Linked DNA regions of Drosophila melanogaster. The protein of the gene in region 3 interacts with the protein of the main gene of each other region in a pairwise test. Each region holds a gene or a part of one and is shown on either strand. Other genes may lie near its edges.

Evidence for each region. The genes of interacting proteins can lie anywhere in the genome.
Region 1: the proteins of abd-A (region 3) and eve interact in a protein complementation assay, tested with the Drosophila melanogaster proteins (2 studies listed by BioGRID).
Region 2: the proteins of abd-A (region 3) and mam interact in a protein complementation assay, tested with the Drosophila melanogaster proteins (2 studies listed by BioGRID).

The regions. Positions count from the first base shown.
Region 1 is NT_033778.4:9,977,319-9,981,354, reverse strand, and holds eve (even skipped), read right to left. Parts: upstream 2,037-4,036; 5' UTR 1,941-2,036; coding exon 1,802-1,940; exon of another isoform or gene 1,771-1,801; intron 1,731-1,770; coding exon 739-1,730; 3' UTR 560-738; downstream 1-559. UniProt on the Drosophila melanogaster protein: May play a role in determining neuronal identity. May be directly involved in specifying identity of individual neurons.
Region 2 is NT_033778.4:13,989,552-13,994,261, reverse strand, and holds the start of mam (mastermind), read right to left. Parts: upstream 3,060-4,710; 5' UTR 2,770-3,059; intron 2,285-2,769; 5' UTR 2,158-2,284; intron 1-2,157. Other genes in the region: RN-tre (uncharacterized protein), read left to right, coding at 4,426-4,577, 4,638-4,710.
Region 3 is NT_033777.3:16,825,100-16,830,092, forward strand, and holds the start of abd-A (abdominal A), read right to left. Parts: upstream 3,007-4,993; 5' UTR 2,905-3,006; coding exon 2,036-2,904; intron 1,209-2,035; coding exon 952-1,208; intron 1-951. UniProt on the Drosophila melanogaster protein: Sequence-specific transcription factor which is part of a developmental regulatory system that provides cells with specific positional identities on the anterior-posterior axis. Required for segmental identity of the second through eighth abdominal segments.

The sequences.
Region 1 (4,036 bases), on a different chromosome or scaffold from region 3:
GGCCAGGACCAACAAACAAAAAAGTCACTCAACGGGTGAGGTGACAATTAATTAGCCGAGCCCAATGCAATCCGAGGACACCGAAATTGATTCCATTGGCAATGCAACCTGACGCGTGGCAGGGAGTGGGCCCAACTCCTCGCCAAGGTCGCCGCCCAGCGGGGTGGCTCTGCATTTGCAATGGGCCCTCCCGCTTGGATCCGTTCGGATCGCATTAATAAGCCATTGGCTTGTGCCAATCCCCCGTGGATGTTGTTCCCTTCCCCGCCGGTGCCGCATCGGGAACCCTTACTCCTGATTGTGGGTGGCCACTCCGAAGGACACTCGGCACGCTCTGCGGCTCTGCCGCTCTGCCGCTCTTCCGTTCGATTTGCCACAGTTTCCCTGGGAAGGTCAGCAGTCAGCAGCGCAGCTGTCCCGCCAGGTTTCTCCACAGCTAATCCAGAGAGCCAGGTCCATAAAAGCGATTCAGCTCAGGTATATGAATATATGTTGATATATATGTAGATAATACCAGGTACCAGGTAGTTCAAATAAACAGTGTGTGTCGTATAATTTTCAATGTTATTTTCGCATTTATTTCTTAATTTGATTTTGCGCCTTAATTATGACTACAATTAGCTACTCTACAATCTGTACAATCTTCGGGAATAAATAGATGAGGCTGACTAAGACTAGTTTGTACAATCTTTTGGGGGAGCATGGGGGGGGGGGAGAGAGTGTGTGTGGATCGCGGGCTTACGCCTCAGTCTTGTAGGGCTTGAAGAGCTTCGGCTTGGGCTCCGCAATCACAGTTGTCGTCGGCGGCGGCGACATGTCGGAGGCAGGCCGCTTGGCACTGGGCATCAGGAGGCCTGGAGCGGGCAGCGGGCTGGTGGTGGTCAGTGGAGCGGGAGCAGGAACTGATGGAGCGGATTGAGCCACTGGACTGCGGTCGAACACCTTGGCGTGATCGGATCCCACTGGCGAGAGCGACAGCGTGGAGGAGTGCGGCGATGACGACGACTGCAGATCCAGCGGCGGCGTCTGGGTCTTGGGCACACCCACACCCAGTCCGGTATAGCAGGTGGCGGAGGGCAGAGCGCCCAAAAGGCCGGCGGCACCGGCGGAGTACGACGATCCCGTTGCGCTGGATCCCATCATGTGCGGATGATGCATATGAGGACCAGCGGGATGTGGCGGCGCCGGGCGGGCGGGGATGTGGTAGGGCGTGTAGCGGTACTGTCCGTAGGGCGATGGATGGCCGGCATGTCCCGAGTGTCCGGGCATCTGCATTGTGGGCATCTGGGGCATGCCCATCGGGGGCATTCCGGTGGCCATCATCGGATTGGTGGCCACGGCAGCGGCGGCGGCAGCAGCGGCGGCAGCAGCGGGGGCGTAGGGCGGATAGGGCATGCCCACGCTGTTGGCGGCGGCCTGGAGGATGGAGGCGGCGAAGGCGGGATCGGAGTAGACGGCTGCGTAGGGCCAGGCGACGGCGATCCTCTGACGCTTGTCCTTCATGCGGCGGTTCTGGAACCACACCTTGATCGTGCTCTCCGGGAGGTTCAGCTGGGCGGCCAGTTCGCAGCGACGGGGACGGGACACGTAGTTCTCCTTGTAGAACTCCTTCTCCAAGCGACCCAGCTGGTCACGGGTGAAGGCGGTGCGATAGCGGCGTACCGACGGGTCGGCGGGAATCTCCGAGCCGCGGCTGCCGTTCAAGGAGTTATCCGGACTGGATAGGCATTCTGTTTTGGACAGAGGAAAGATTGGGTGTAAGTAACTCGTCACGTTTGCTCGGCTTTATCTTTAAACTTACCATTTGGCGAGGGAGGCGGTGTCTGGGGCTTGCCGTACTGGGTGGCCAAGAGGTCCACAACCAGGGGCTTCTGGTCCACGGGACTGGCGTCGTGATGGGCATGGTGGCTCTCCATGTTGTAGGTTCGGTATCCGTGCATGTTTGGTATGCGTCTTGTGATTCAAAGTTGGCTTATTCAGAGGATATTAACGAAGGCAGTTAGTTGTTGACTGTGCGGCGGTCACAGCTCGAGTGTGCTGCTCTCAGCCACCCCGCGCCCTTTTATACCGCTGCGCTCTGCAGGCAAATGGCCGCCGTCGCTGGGAGCGGCCAATCGCAGCGACCCAGGCAGGTGCGAGCGGGACAGCCTGAGCGGAACGGTGCTAATCGTGCGGTGCTGAGAGTGGATGCGCTGCTGTGCTCTCGGTGCTGAGCGGCGATAACGAGGCGGGACAAAGCGGAGGAGCAGGACCCGGAGCAGCGGGATGGAGCCGCGTTCTCTGCTCGGCAGGACCATGAGGAGGTCCTGGCCATGCTGGCCATGGCACTCCCGAGCTGGAGAGAGAGAGAGTTCCGATTTGGTATTCATAGCGGATGAGCGAATCTTTTGTCTCGCCCGCCCGCAGGCGGTTGCTCCGCAGGAGCGAGCGGGACGGGCGGGCCCCCTTAATAATGGGATTTTATCGGCTTCATCAAGAATGATATGGCATTATGCCGCTCAGTCGGGTCGGGTGGTGTGTGTTTGCCGGCAGAGAGTGTGTGTATCCCACTATATATTTGTATGTATGTATTATCGATCGCCTGCCAGCGAATTATTTGCGCTTTTATGAAGTCTTAATATTATGCCGCACGTTTAACAGCCCCACACTGCCATGGCTGCCATGACTTTCGGGTTTTGGGGGCTTCATCCACCCCGTTGGAGCGGCGGCAGGGGTGTCCAGCCATAACCATTTGGGAACTGCTGTAGCGAGATAATGGCCGCCCCTGCCCGCAGAACATGGAAAATGGAAAATGGGAACCCAGTTGCCGGGACTTAATTTGAAAAGTTTTCGGTTTCGTTGGGCAAAACATTTATTATGATGATATAATCATTCCCAGCGTACCAACTGTACCAGGACCGGGATAGTGCCTCCTCTTTTGGGCCAGCAAACCGGCCACTTGCCACTTGCGCAAGTTAGCTTGGAGGTTTGGCCAAAAAAATCGTGGGGTCCACCCACAACTACCTGCTGCCCGGCTCAAAACGGGTTAAGCTCGCGGATCAGGGCTAAGTCGGCGCAAAAAAATAACCCAGTTCGCTAGTCCGTTAATTGCGTTGCCTGGACCTGCGCGCCCCTAATCCCTTCGACATCATTATTATGTGTTTTTATGACTTTCTAATGAAAAGGACAAGGGATTGGGATTGGGATTGGGATCGGGCTAGGGATCGGGATTGGATTCCAAGTCAAGCCCTTGGCTAATCCCAGCAAACAAACAAACAAACGCCCGCAGAAGATGGCGATGGCTAGATCGGCGGAATGCCCTGACTTCGCAACCCGGTCTCGTTGTGCGATTATAGTCCAGGGTCCCTCGATTCCGTCTAAATGAAAGTATGGCACAGCGTGTTACCAAACTGCGACGATTGTTCAAGATGCTGCAATAAAGTCTAACTCGAAAGTGAAACGAGGACGAAAGCGAAACGCTGCAACTGCAATTGACTAATAATCTCGCTGATGGCAAACGGATTAACACGGCACACACAGCGAGAAACCAGGCCAGCTTTTCGATCTGTCCCAGTTACGGTTCGGGTTCCATTGTTATGCAGTACCGGGTAACCAGGAAGGATACCTCGCTCCTGCCAGTTACTTCAAATTATTGGGTTATATTGCGCCCGCAATTTGCATTGGCATTAACTCGCCCGGCATAGCCGCATCGCAACAACTCTACCTACTGGCCGACCTGGAAAAGGCCCACATGCAAGCCTTCTTGCCCCGGGAAAGGTTCAATTCTCGAGGTTCGGGGTTCAGGGCTAACAGCTCACAGCTCATAGCTCATAGCTCAAACCCTACCCACAAGCAACAACCTTGCCTATTGTCCACCTCCGCCGGCCTTTGTCTTTGACTCCGTCCGGAGAATGGACGCGAAACGACCGCTTGGGTTAAGTCGTCAAGCGAGGCTCTGCGGCAGCGACAGTAAATACCCTTTATGGCGATCGGGTGGGTTGGATTGGATTGGGATGGGTTGGATTGGCTTGGTTAGGCGAAAGTGTCCGCCGGCGGA
Region 2 (4,710 bases), on a different chromosome or scaffold from region 3:
CAAAGAGTTAAGTTGAGCAGCAGCATTGACCCCAACTGACTCAACGACAAAATATGCCACAGAAAAGGACGGCATTAGAGCGTCGAACAGAGATGGCAGACGCACAGAAGGAGATGGAGTTGAAGACTGGAGCCTCGGGAGATCTCTCGTATCCGAATAAATGCAGAACATGGTGCGAAATATTTAATACAAAAATGTTGAAAAGGAGTTTGGCCTGACAAAATAAAGCACCACACTAAACCATGTACAGTGAAATGTTGATAACTTAAACTGGGATTACTGCATATGTTATTCTTTGCATAAGCTGACCTTAGAAAAACATTACCCTGTTTCTTAAATGGAGAAAGTAATGGAGGAGCTTTTAAAAATTTCAACATCAACATATATATACTACAGTTATTTTTTATTTAATCAAATCCACAAATTCACACCCGGAATGAAATTTTTTTTATTTCAAGAATTTTAAGATTGAAATGGTATGCATTTATTTTCTTCTTATTGTAGTTTTTTAACTTAAGTGAAATAAGGCTTATGTTATATGGATTCAAAAATGAATGAATACAGGAAATTCCATGGCGCGCAGTTCGCGATACGGAGGCAAACCTGTAGCAGCCAACTGCAGCAGACGAAGCGAGGTGAGGCCAAGTAAACCTGTTTACAGTTCAAACTTCGCATTCGATATATTCGATGTGAACTCTTTTTTGTTGTGCCATAGTAGGTATGTTCGTCTGGCAGGTTCTGGGGCTGCTTCTTCTTGGCCAACCGAGTTGTTTTAAGCCACCTACGAAGTCGAAGCTTAGGCCGGGTTATCTTCAGCTTAATTGGGTCATTCACACGCGCCACTTGCTCGTCGATAGAGATGGATATACGGCTCCAGAGGGAGATAAAGATACAGCTGGAGACACTGCTGAAAAACACACACAACTTTTTCAGCCTAGCAACAACTTCCGGTGTCTCAAAGACGAAACGAACAAGAAACTAAAGACGAGGCATACATTACATGTTAGACCACTCGAAGACGTACATATGCGAAGACGGGGGCAAAACAAACGGCGGCGAACAGAGGGAGATACATGTATGTAAAAAAAAAAAAAGGAAAGGCAAATAATACTGTTTATCAAGTGATGAAAAGCATTTAAAATGTCGAGTATGCCAGGTATTGTGTTTAAATGCATGCCCTTCGTCGCATTTCGGTTGGAATGCATCTGATATTGGTAAGGAGAATGTTCAAAAGACATAAGCTGAATGCTGTTAATAATTTTAAAAATATTTAAGCAATAAATGCATATATTGCATAATGGCATTAAAACAAAAGGCAATACAGAATTCTTTATTTGAATATTTATTTTGATTTTTGGAGTTACAAAAAACTAACGATAATAATATAAGATGGAATGTTTCGTATACAAAATACAAATAATAAGATCCAAAAGAAATTTATAAATCAATCTTAAAAAACTCTTTAATATTCGAAAGAATTAAAATTCTTCTTTCCCCAAAAATATATATTGAAATATTTCTCGAATTGGTTTTAAAAAAGAAAATTCTAGTATCTTATAGATTGAAGTAACGAAACAACGGTAGATCTCTCCCACACTCAATCTTTTCTACCTACAAGGATCAAACGAAATCAAAGGATCAACGTTGAAGAAGAAGCAGAGAGAGAGAAAGAAAGAATCAAAGACAGGGCAAAAACAAAGTCATCAGTCCAAAGACAAAGGCAAATAAATGGAGAGACAAAAGAGACGGCCATAAAAACTCAACCGACAACTTCTGGATGTGCGAAAGGGACGGCAAGGGTAGAGCGAGAGGTGTGTGCATCCATCATTTTCTAGGCGATGCAAGCAAAAGCAATAGCAACAACCACAACAAACTGCAGTTTGGGCTTAGGAAATTATTTGGCAATTCCAAAGCCTCGAAAAACTGGTCTTGATCCATTTTTAAAAGCCGAGCTTTGACTCAAGCTCCCCTCAAACATAAAAACATCAATCATGCGAAGTTCTACACGAAAAGCGCTTCAAGGTCTTATCAACATGAGAAGAGAAAAAAAGGCATATGAAAACCCGAAATAGAACTGGTTTTGAAATGCAAAAAGCCACCCACACGAAACTAAAACGCTATAAACTAATTAGGCGATAAGAGACTTAACTTACTTACCCAGAAGCTGTGCTGATAATCCAACTTGATTTTGATTTCCTTTGATTTGCTATTTGCTATTTTCCATTTGTTATTACTGTTGTTATTTCAACTTAGCATTTATCCAATGCTTTGAATTTTAATCCAACTGCAACAACAACAAGAACGGCACAATTTTATTAGCTGGCCAATGCAACAACAATCAAAAGAGCAGAAACTCTCCGCTCTCCTCTCTCGATGTCTTCGTGTATGTGCAAAAATCAAAACAAAACACGGCAAAAACACTTATAACTCAAAGAGAGCGAATGAGAGAATGAGAAAGAGAGTGATCCGCTTTGCTTTTGTTTTAGTTTTTAGTGACTGCAACATGTTGAATGTGTTTACTCTTGCCCTAACGGTAAATGCTAGAGCTGCAGTTTAAAAATCCTCTGCTCGTCTCGAATTGAAAATCAAAAATTTACACGCGGCAATTTTCTTTTGCATCACAAAATCCACAATCACTCACACGCACACACAAACACACATATATATATATATATATATATATATATATATATATAAACGCACACCTTTAAAAAGGACGCTGTTGAGGGTTGCATTTTATGTTAAACATAATATTAATTATTTGCTTACTTTTATCTCACAATGCACTCTTAGAAATTTCCACTGTTATGTTATTCATGTGTTTGCATAAAACTGGAGAAATTAAACACGGTATCTCAACAAAAATAAAAGAAAGCCGCCAACAAAATCGGTTATGTTTGACTTCTTTTCACTTTGATATACACCTTAATTCATTTGCTTGTTCAATTAGCATGCACTCCTTAGTTATTTGGTACAGTGTATTTTTTACGAGAGTTCTCGACAATTTTCGAGCGCTAAAACAAAGAAACCGCGCTCGATGATAAAAACCGCGTCCGACTGCCGCTGTTTTTTTGTTGTTTTGAGAGGCGCTAGTGGTGGAACGATGGCTGGGAAAACATCGATAACGCTATCGATCAAGCGATTACTTATCCTTCTGTTGCTGACGATGTTTTCCAGTTGAATGTATGGCAGCACTGCTTATTTAGTCACAAAAATTATATTTGAATTAAAAAGCCGATTTTGTTATCAAGAAATAAATTTTGAAGTGAAAATGTTTTCCACAAATGTTTTAATTCATTAAGTGCCACTTGTCGCAATTAAGTAACTGAATAGGTTTTAAATAATAAGTAAATAAATATCATTGTTAAATATTTATAAATGAGCATTCATTTGCAGCTTTAAATAGATAAACATTTTACATATTTGTACATTGACATCACAAACATTTCAACTAAAATTTAAACTCGTATAACATTACGCTAAAGTATCGCTTAAATATTGGCTCGCATCCCTGGTACTCTTGTTACGTTACGTTATTCGGCAATTACATCAGTCTGGCAACTCTGGCCCTCACACACACTCAGTCGCCCCCCAAATGTATCGGAAACATGCAGCCGAGATAAAATAGTGAAAAACTAGTTACCAAACATAACCGATCAGTGCGGATAATAAGAATTGGCAATTCAAAATTAAATGGTAAACGAACGTCGGCGCGATTAATTAAACTCAACCATAGGAACGCGGAGAGAGTGGCCAGTGAAAGCCAGAACACTCTCTTTCGTCGGAGCGTCTGTGTGTGTGTGTGTTACGTGTGTGCGTATGTGTCTGTGTTGACAAAATACAACAAATCGCAGCGAAAACAGGAAGTGTACGAACGATAAAGCATAAGATTGCACATTTCGCATTAAAATAGGCGACAAAAACCCGGGGGCGCATGCAGATCCACACATTTCTGGCCCACTCACACTCACACAACGCAGATCAGGGGGCGTTTTTCTAGATCAGTGACCAAGTCTTATATGGCTTTATGTTTTGATGCTGCACTAAATATGGGTGAAACATCACGTCATTTATGCCACGCTCCTTCTCCAAAAACAAAGATCATGTTGATTTCACTGCATTTGAATATATATATATATATATACAATAGTTAATGTTCGTGTGCGTCATTCGCTCATCAGCTATATAGTATACGAGTGTTGTTATTGTGGATCGCTTTCGCATGTTAATGCTTTTGTGTGTTATTTTTTCCATTCCATTTTTTTTTTATCAAAGTTTCGCGCTATCGCCCAGTCAGCTCAGAAGCAGCCGCTCCCCAACTGAGAGCACAGAGAAACCAGCTCTGGCCACTTGCTCCTCCGGATCCGGCTCCTGCTCCTGTCCCCGATCCCCTCCCCCACCCGCCAAATCCTGATCCTGCTCCAAATGACTGACGGCGAACAGCAGGAGGCGCTGGTCAAGCGGGCCGAGGACGAGCGCGAGGACATCTTCCGGCGCTACGAACTCGGGCTGGATCCCAGCAATGTGGTGGACTCCTGGGAGAATCCCACCTTCGAGATCTACCACAGGACAGACAAGTGAGTAATATTAATCATTCGCCAGAAAAAATCCCAATAATGCCATTGATGCTCCCACAGATATGGCTTCTTGCACGACTCGCGGCTGCCGTCGACGCGTGATGCCCAGGAGGTGCATCGCAACAAGATTGAA
Region 3 (4,993 bases):
TTTTGGTCGGCATTTTGGGCTATACGTTTGTCGGTGTGGGGCAACCTTGAGGCTATTTAAATTACAAATCGACGCCAAATAACACGACAGACAAGAGAAGCATTTCTCAAACTATTTTCATTTTTATTTACTGCCAACTTTTTAGCTCTTCGTTCATTTCGTTTACGGATTCGAATCGCCTGGAAGACTTATGCGAAATAAACGACTTGGAAGTGCTCCGCAAAGTGTTCATTACGAATTGGAATTGTAGGCGAAATGGCGGTGCAAATGGGAATGCTATTGGGGAACGTTTGCGCCACGTTTATCTATTGTTTATAAAAGGTACGCAGCAACCATTCCAAATACTACACTTGGGAAATTTAATTCGATAATTCGACTGGACGCTTTTTGTTAGGTCATACAATTTGTAAATCAGTTCGAACCTGGTTTAAGTCTACGGGTTGTTAAACAACTTAGCTGTTTAAATTTTTTAATTATAGTATTTAACCTAACATAGCGACTAAATAATTCAATCCAATATAAGTTCTTACAATTTTTTATTTGATTTTTTGATTTCAGTGTAAGTGGCCATGATTTATATGTACACAAAAAATTTTAAGAGATCGCTTTGTAGATCTTGAAGGCAATTTATTCTTGATTTAAGACGATATACATTCCCTGAAGTGCACGGATTATTTCTGATTTTATAATGATTGGCATGATATATAGAACACAGTAGATACGATAGACAGACTCTTAATTTAAAAGACTGATTGATTGGCTCAGTGTGATAAACTTGTATTGGGATATGTGTGATTCTCAATTCTAAAAATCGGATAACTTTCAAGATTTATCAAATTTGGCACTCACATTCAGATCCGAAGTCTTTCACAAAGAGTCCGAATCTGGCAGTTATTTTTTTACTTATGTATAATATATCTCCGCACTATCGAGTATCGAGTTTTGACTCACCTGTAAGCGTCATCCAGGGATACCTGGGCAGATCGGCGATACCGGCTCCGCCCGCTCCCCCTGCCCCTGGCATCACGCCGGAGGCGGGCTGTGTGCAGGCATTTCCCAGCGAGTCCACGCCGATCGCGCCGGCACTGGCCGCGGATACCGCGGATGCGGCGGCTGTGGCATGTTGATAGAACTGAGCGAACTGTGCAGATGCCGAGGCAGGTACGCTCATCGACTGGTAGCTGTTCATGACAGTGTCCGTGTACCTGCTGTGGGTGTGGGAGAGAGAAAGTAGCCATTATTGTTGGTGATCCCTGCTCTCATAGTACGTTCCCAACTCCAGCGCCCGTACTAAAGTCAAATGCTAATGAGGTGGCCATTTGCATGCCCCTTTCACCAAACTGCGGTTAGCTCTAATTGCACACTAATCCCGAACACGCCCACGCACAGCAGGGTTCACTGTACATGCACATGGAGTGCCCATACAGTAGTACTAATATGCAAATGGCCGCAGCGGAAGGTCAGCGTGCGTGCGAATCTTGTGGCCGGCGACAAATTGCCAGCGGCCACCACAGGCTGCTCTAATTTTCCGACTTTATGGCCATTCAATATGAATGGCCGGTGGCCGAGAGGAAAATGGACAGAGTCCCAGGATCCGAGACCCGATAATTAGAGCGCATTCGAAACGGATTTGCGGTTTTGCAGTGTTTGCAGATTTTACTGAAGGTCTCGACTGGCATTTCCGCTCGCCAAATTGAGAGCACGCGAAATTAGTTCTTGGAAGAGCTGAGTGTTTCTTTTTTTTTGTATTTTCAACCCCGGAAACATCTTCTTAAAGGTTTTGAAGCCAGGTAAAGCTAATGGTCATACTAAATTTGCATATATTTTAAAATATGATACTGTCTGAGAAGTTCTATCAATGCACTCCAAATATTTGAATATCATATTAGATAGTATAGATCATTTGTCATTGACTTTATATTTGCACTTCCTATTAGGGTCATTTAAGATCATTTTACTACGATTGGACATAAAACCCATCCCGATTTATAAAAATCTGCATTATCCCATACTTAAACAGGGCAATCTATCTTACCTGCACGACTTATCCTCCAGTCCGGTGAAGCCGGCCATTCCGGAGAGCCCTCCATGGCTGCTAGGGTGGTTAGACACGTACGGATACATCTTGCTGGTGGGGATGGCAAACGAGGAGCTAGCCGCAGCGGCGGCGGCGGCTGCAGCAGCAGCGACGGAACTGGCCGCGGATGCGGAGGCGGACGCGGATGCGGACCCGGGAGAGTTGTCGTTGAGGCTGCGGTGTAGCGAGGAGCTACCGGATGCCGAGGGCGATGGGGAGCAGCTGCTGTCGCCCGCTTGAGAATTGCCCGCTGACGGGGGCGTTAGCAACAGTTGCTGGTGGGCGTGTCCGTGCGAGGCAACTGCGGCGGCGGCTAGTTTGCTAATGTGGTGTTGTTGCTGCTGTAGCTGAAGAGCGGCCGAGAGCGAGGAGTATTGGTGGTGGTGTTGCTGCTGCTGGTGGTGCAGATGTTGCTGCTGCTGGTGGTTCAGGTGTTGCTGCTGCACCTGTGGGTGGTGCTGCTGGAAGGGCGACGATGAGGAGACGGGTGAGTGGGGCGATTGGCCCAGATGTTGGCTCAAATGGCTCGGCGATAGGGATCCTCCGCTCAAATTGAGATTACTGTTGTTGTTGCTGCTGCTGCTTGGACTGCTGCTGCTATTGTTGGTGTTGCTTGTGTTGCTTCCAGCGATCGTGTTGCTGCTGTTGTTGTTGCTGCTGCTGCTGGCTGAAACGCTGGCGGATGCAGAGGCGGCGGCGGCGGCTAGGGCGGCGGCAACTGCTGCAGATGACGAATTCGGGGGGGTGGTGGTTAAGTGGTGCGAACTGATAAACGGCTGGAACTGTGGATACTTTGGCAGCATACTATCGAAAACAAATTTTGACATTGCACATATTTTGCTCTCTGGCCGAGGATCGGATCTTCGGAATTTCGTTTAGTCCACTTGTTGTTCTATTTTAGTTTCGGAGATTTCTGAGTTCGAATGATTTGGGTTCTTTATCTGAGTCGTTTGGTTAATGGCTAGATTGAGTATTTCGTTTTATAATTTAAAGTTTCCTCTTTGTGTGACTTTAACAAATTTTGTTTGAATTCAGCGTGGAGAGGAGCGCTTTCTAGCCATAATAAAACAAAAGTTCCGACTACTTCTGTAAGCACAACCTAAATCTTAAACTTGAATGACTTTATAATTCAACACTGTGAGAAATAGCATTTTAAAAATATCTTTTTCTTTAACTTTTTCATAAGATTTACACAGCAATTTAATTTGTATCAATGTCTATTAAAATTTACTTGTCTTTAATGAACATCTCCCGTCTCTGTATTTAACTTTTCTACTTCATAATCGAATGCAAACTACATTGGACTTAGTATATAAATCACTAACAAAATTAATCGAATTAAAAGGTACTAAAAACAAAAATAAACTTGGCGTCCAATGTGATAAACAAGAATTAAAAATGGCAAAACAAAAAATATAACATGTTTATAAAAATTACTCGGAAACCATAAAAAGAACATTAACCAAATTGAATATGTTTGGATTGAACATAAATCTTTCGGGTAGCATGATACAGAACTCAAGTGAAAAAAATATATAATCCAAATGCTTTATATATTTTTCAGCTAGATTTCCCTGCCAGTGCCAACGAGTTAGTATGTGGGTTACTTTTACAGTACTATATGAGATGGCCAACAGTTAGTACTTTTTAGATAGAGTTAGTGAGACAGAATTCGGAAACTTTGCCAGCTGCCCGACTTTAAGCTACTTTTCTCGATTCCGAGAAGTGAAATGCATTTTGTTACCTTTCTCAAGTTTTCTCTAGCGAACTTTTGGCGAGCAGCTTGTATTTGCAGCTTTTCTGTTTCTGTTACTTTTTTCGCTCGAAGCTGGCGAATTCACAACGAAATTTGTTAAATTTGCATATGGTCTCGGGTTGCGTTGTATTTGCAGCTGTGGCACAAGTGTGTGTGTCGCATGTGTGTGTTTGGGGTGTGTGTATCTTTTATTTGTTGTAAAAGCAATTAAAATGCGGTCATCAATTACGCGGAAATTCGAATGGACGTCGTGCCGGCGGGATTTCGTACGTGTGATTTATAGGCGCGCGATCTTTTTTAATGGCACTCTTGTATTTTTATGGCAGAGTGAGTTTCCTGCGGCTTTTAACGACTTCTCAAGTGCGTGAGTGTGTGTGTGGCCGGAGAAATGCTTTCTCCCAACGTTTTGCTTTAATTACTTTGTTTAAAATGTCATAAAACACTTTGCAGGTAGAACTATCGAAGTCTGGAACGGAGAGGCGAGAACCTTTTTACGATGTCAACTTTATGTCTTTTTAATTTTTACGAACCGCACACAGTGAGTTATAAACCATAGTGTTTTGACAGTTTTTTCGGTTTTAAATTTCACACACAATTTTATTATATTTTACGCGATCTATAACATTTAAGTGACAATAAGCCGGCGGCCGAAACGGAACAATAAACACGGCGAATCGGAAACTGAATCGTATTGCCGCACTACAGTCGTATAGTCGTATAATCGTATAATCCGAATCGGAATCGGAGGGCCGAAATTCCAAAGAGTGGAGAGCTGAGTTCCGCAGACACTACTGCGCGCCACGATAATAAATATTATAATAAAACGAAATTTTTAAAAGAGTATAAAAATTTCGTGTAATTGGTAATTCTTGCTGCCAGCGCGGGCAGCGGCGTCGACAGAAACGGCGGCAGAGCGGCAGCGACTGAGGCGCTTTGAGTCGTTGGAGACTTTGAGTTTTGTCTGTCTACGGAGGGGGTTTTCCTTTATATTTTTTGTTTTCTATTTTTTTTTTTTTGGGGAGACCGCTTTACGCGCGAGAAGAGAAGCGAAAGCAAAGCCGCTGCGAAACGTCGAGCGTTGTGGCGTTACGAGCAGCGAAACGTTTATGGCGCAATACAAAAGCCATGCGAGCGTTCTTATGGGCAACTGGATGCTGAGT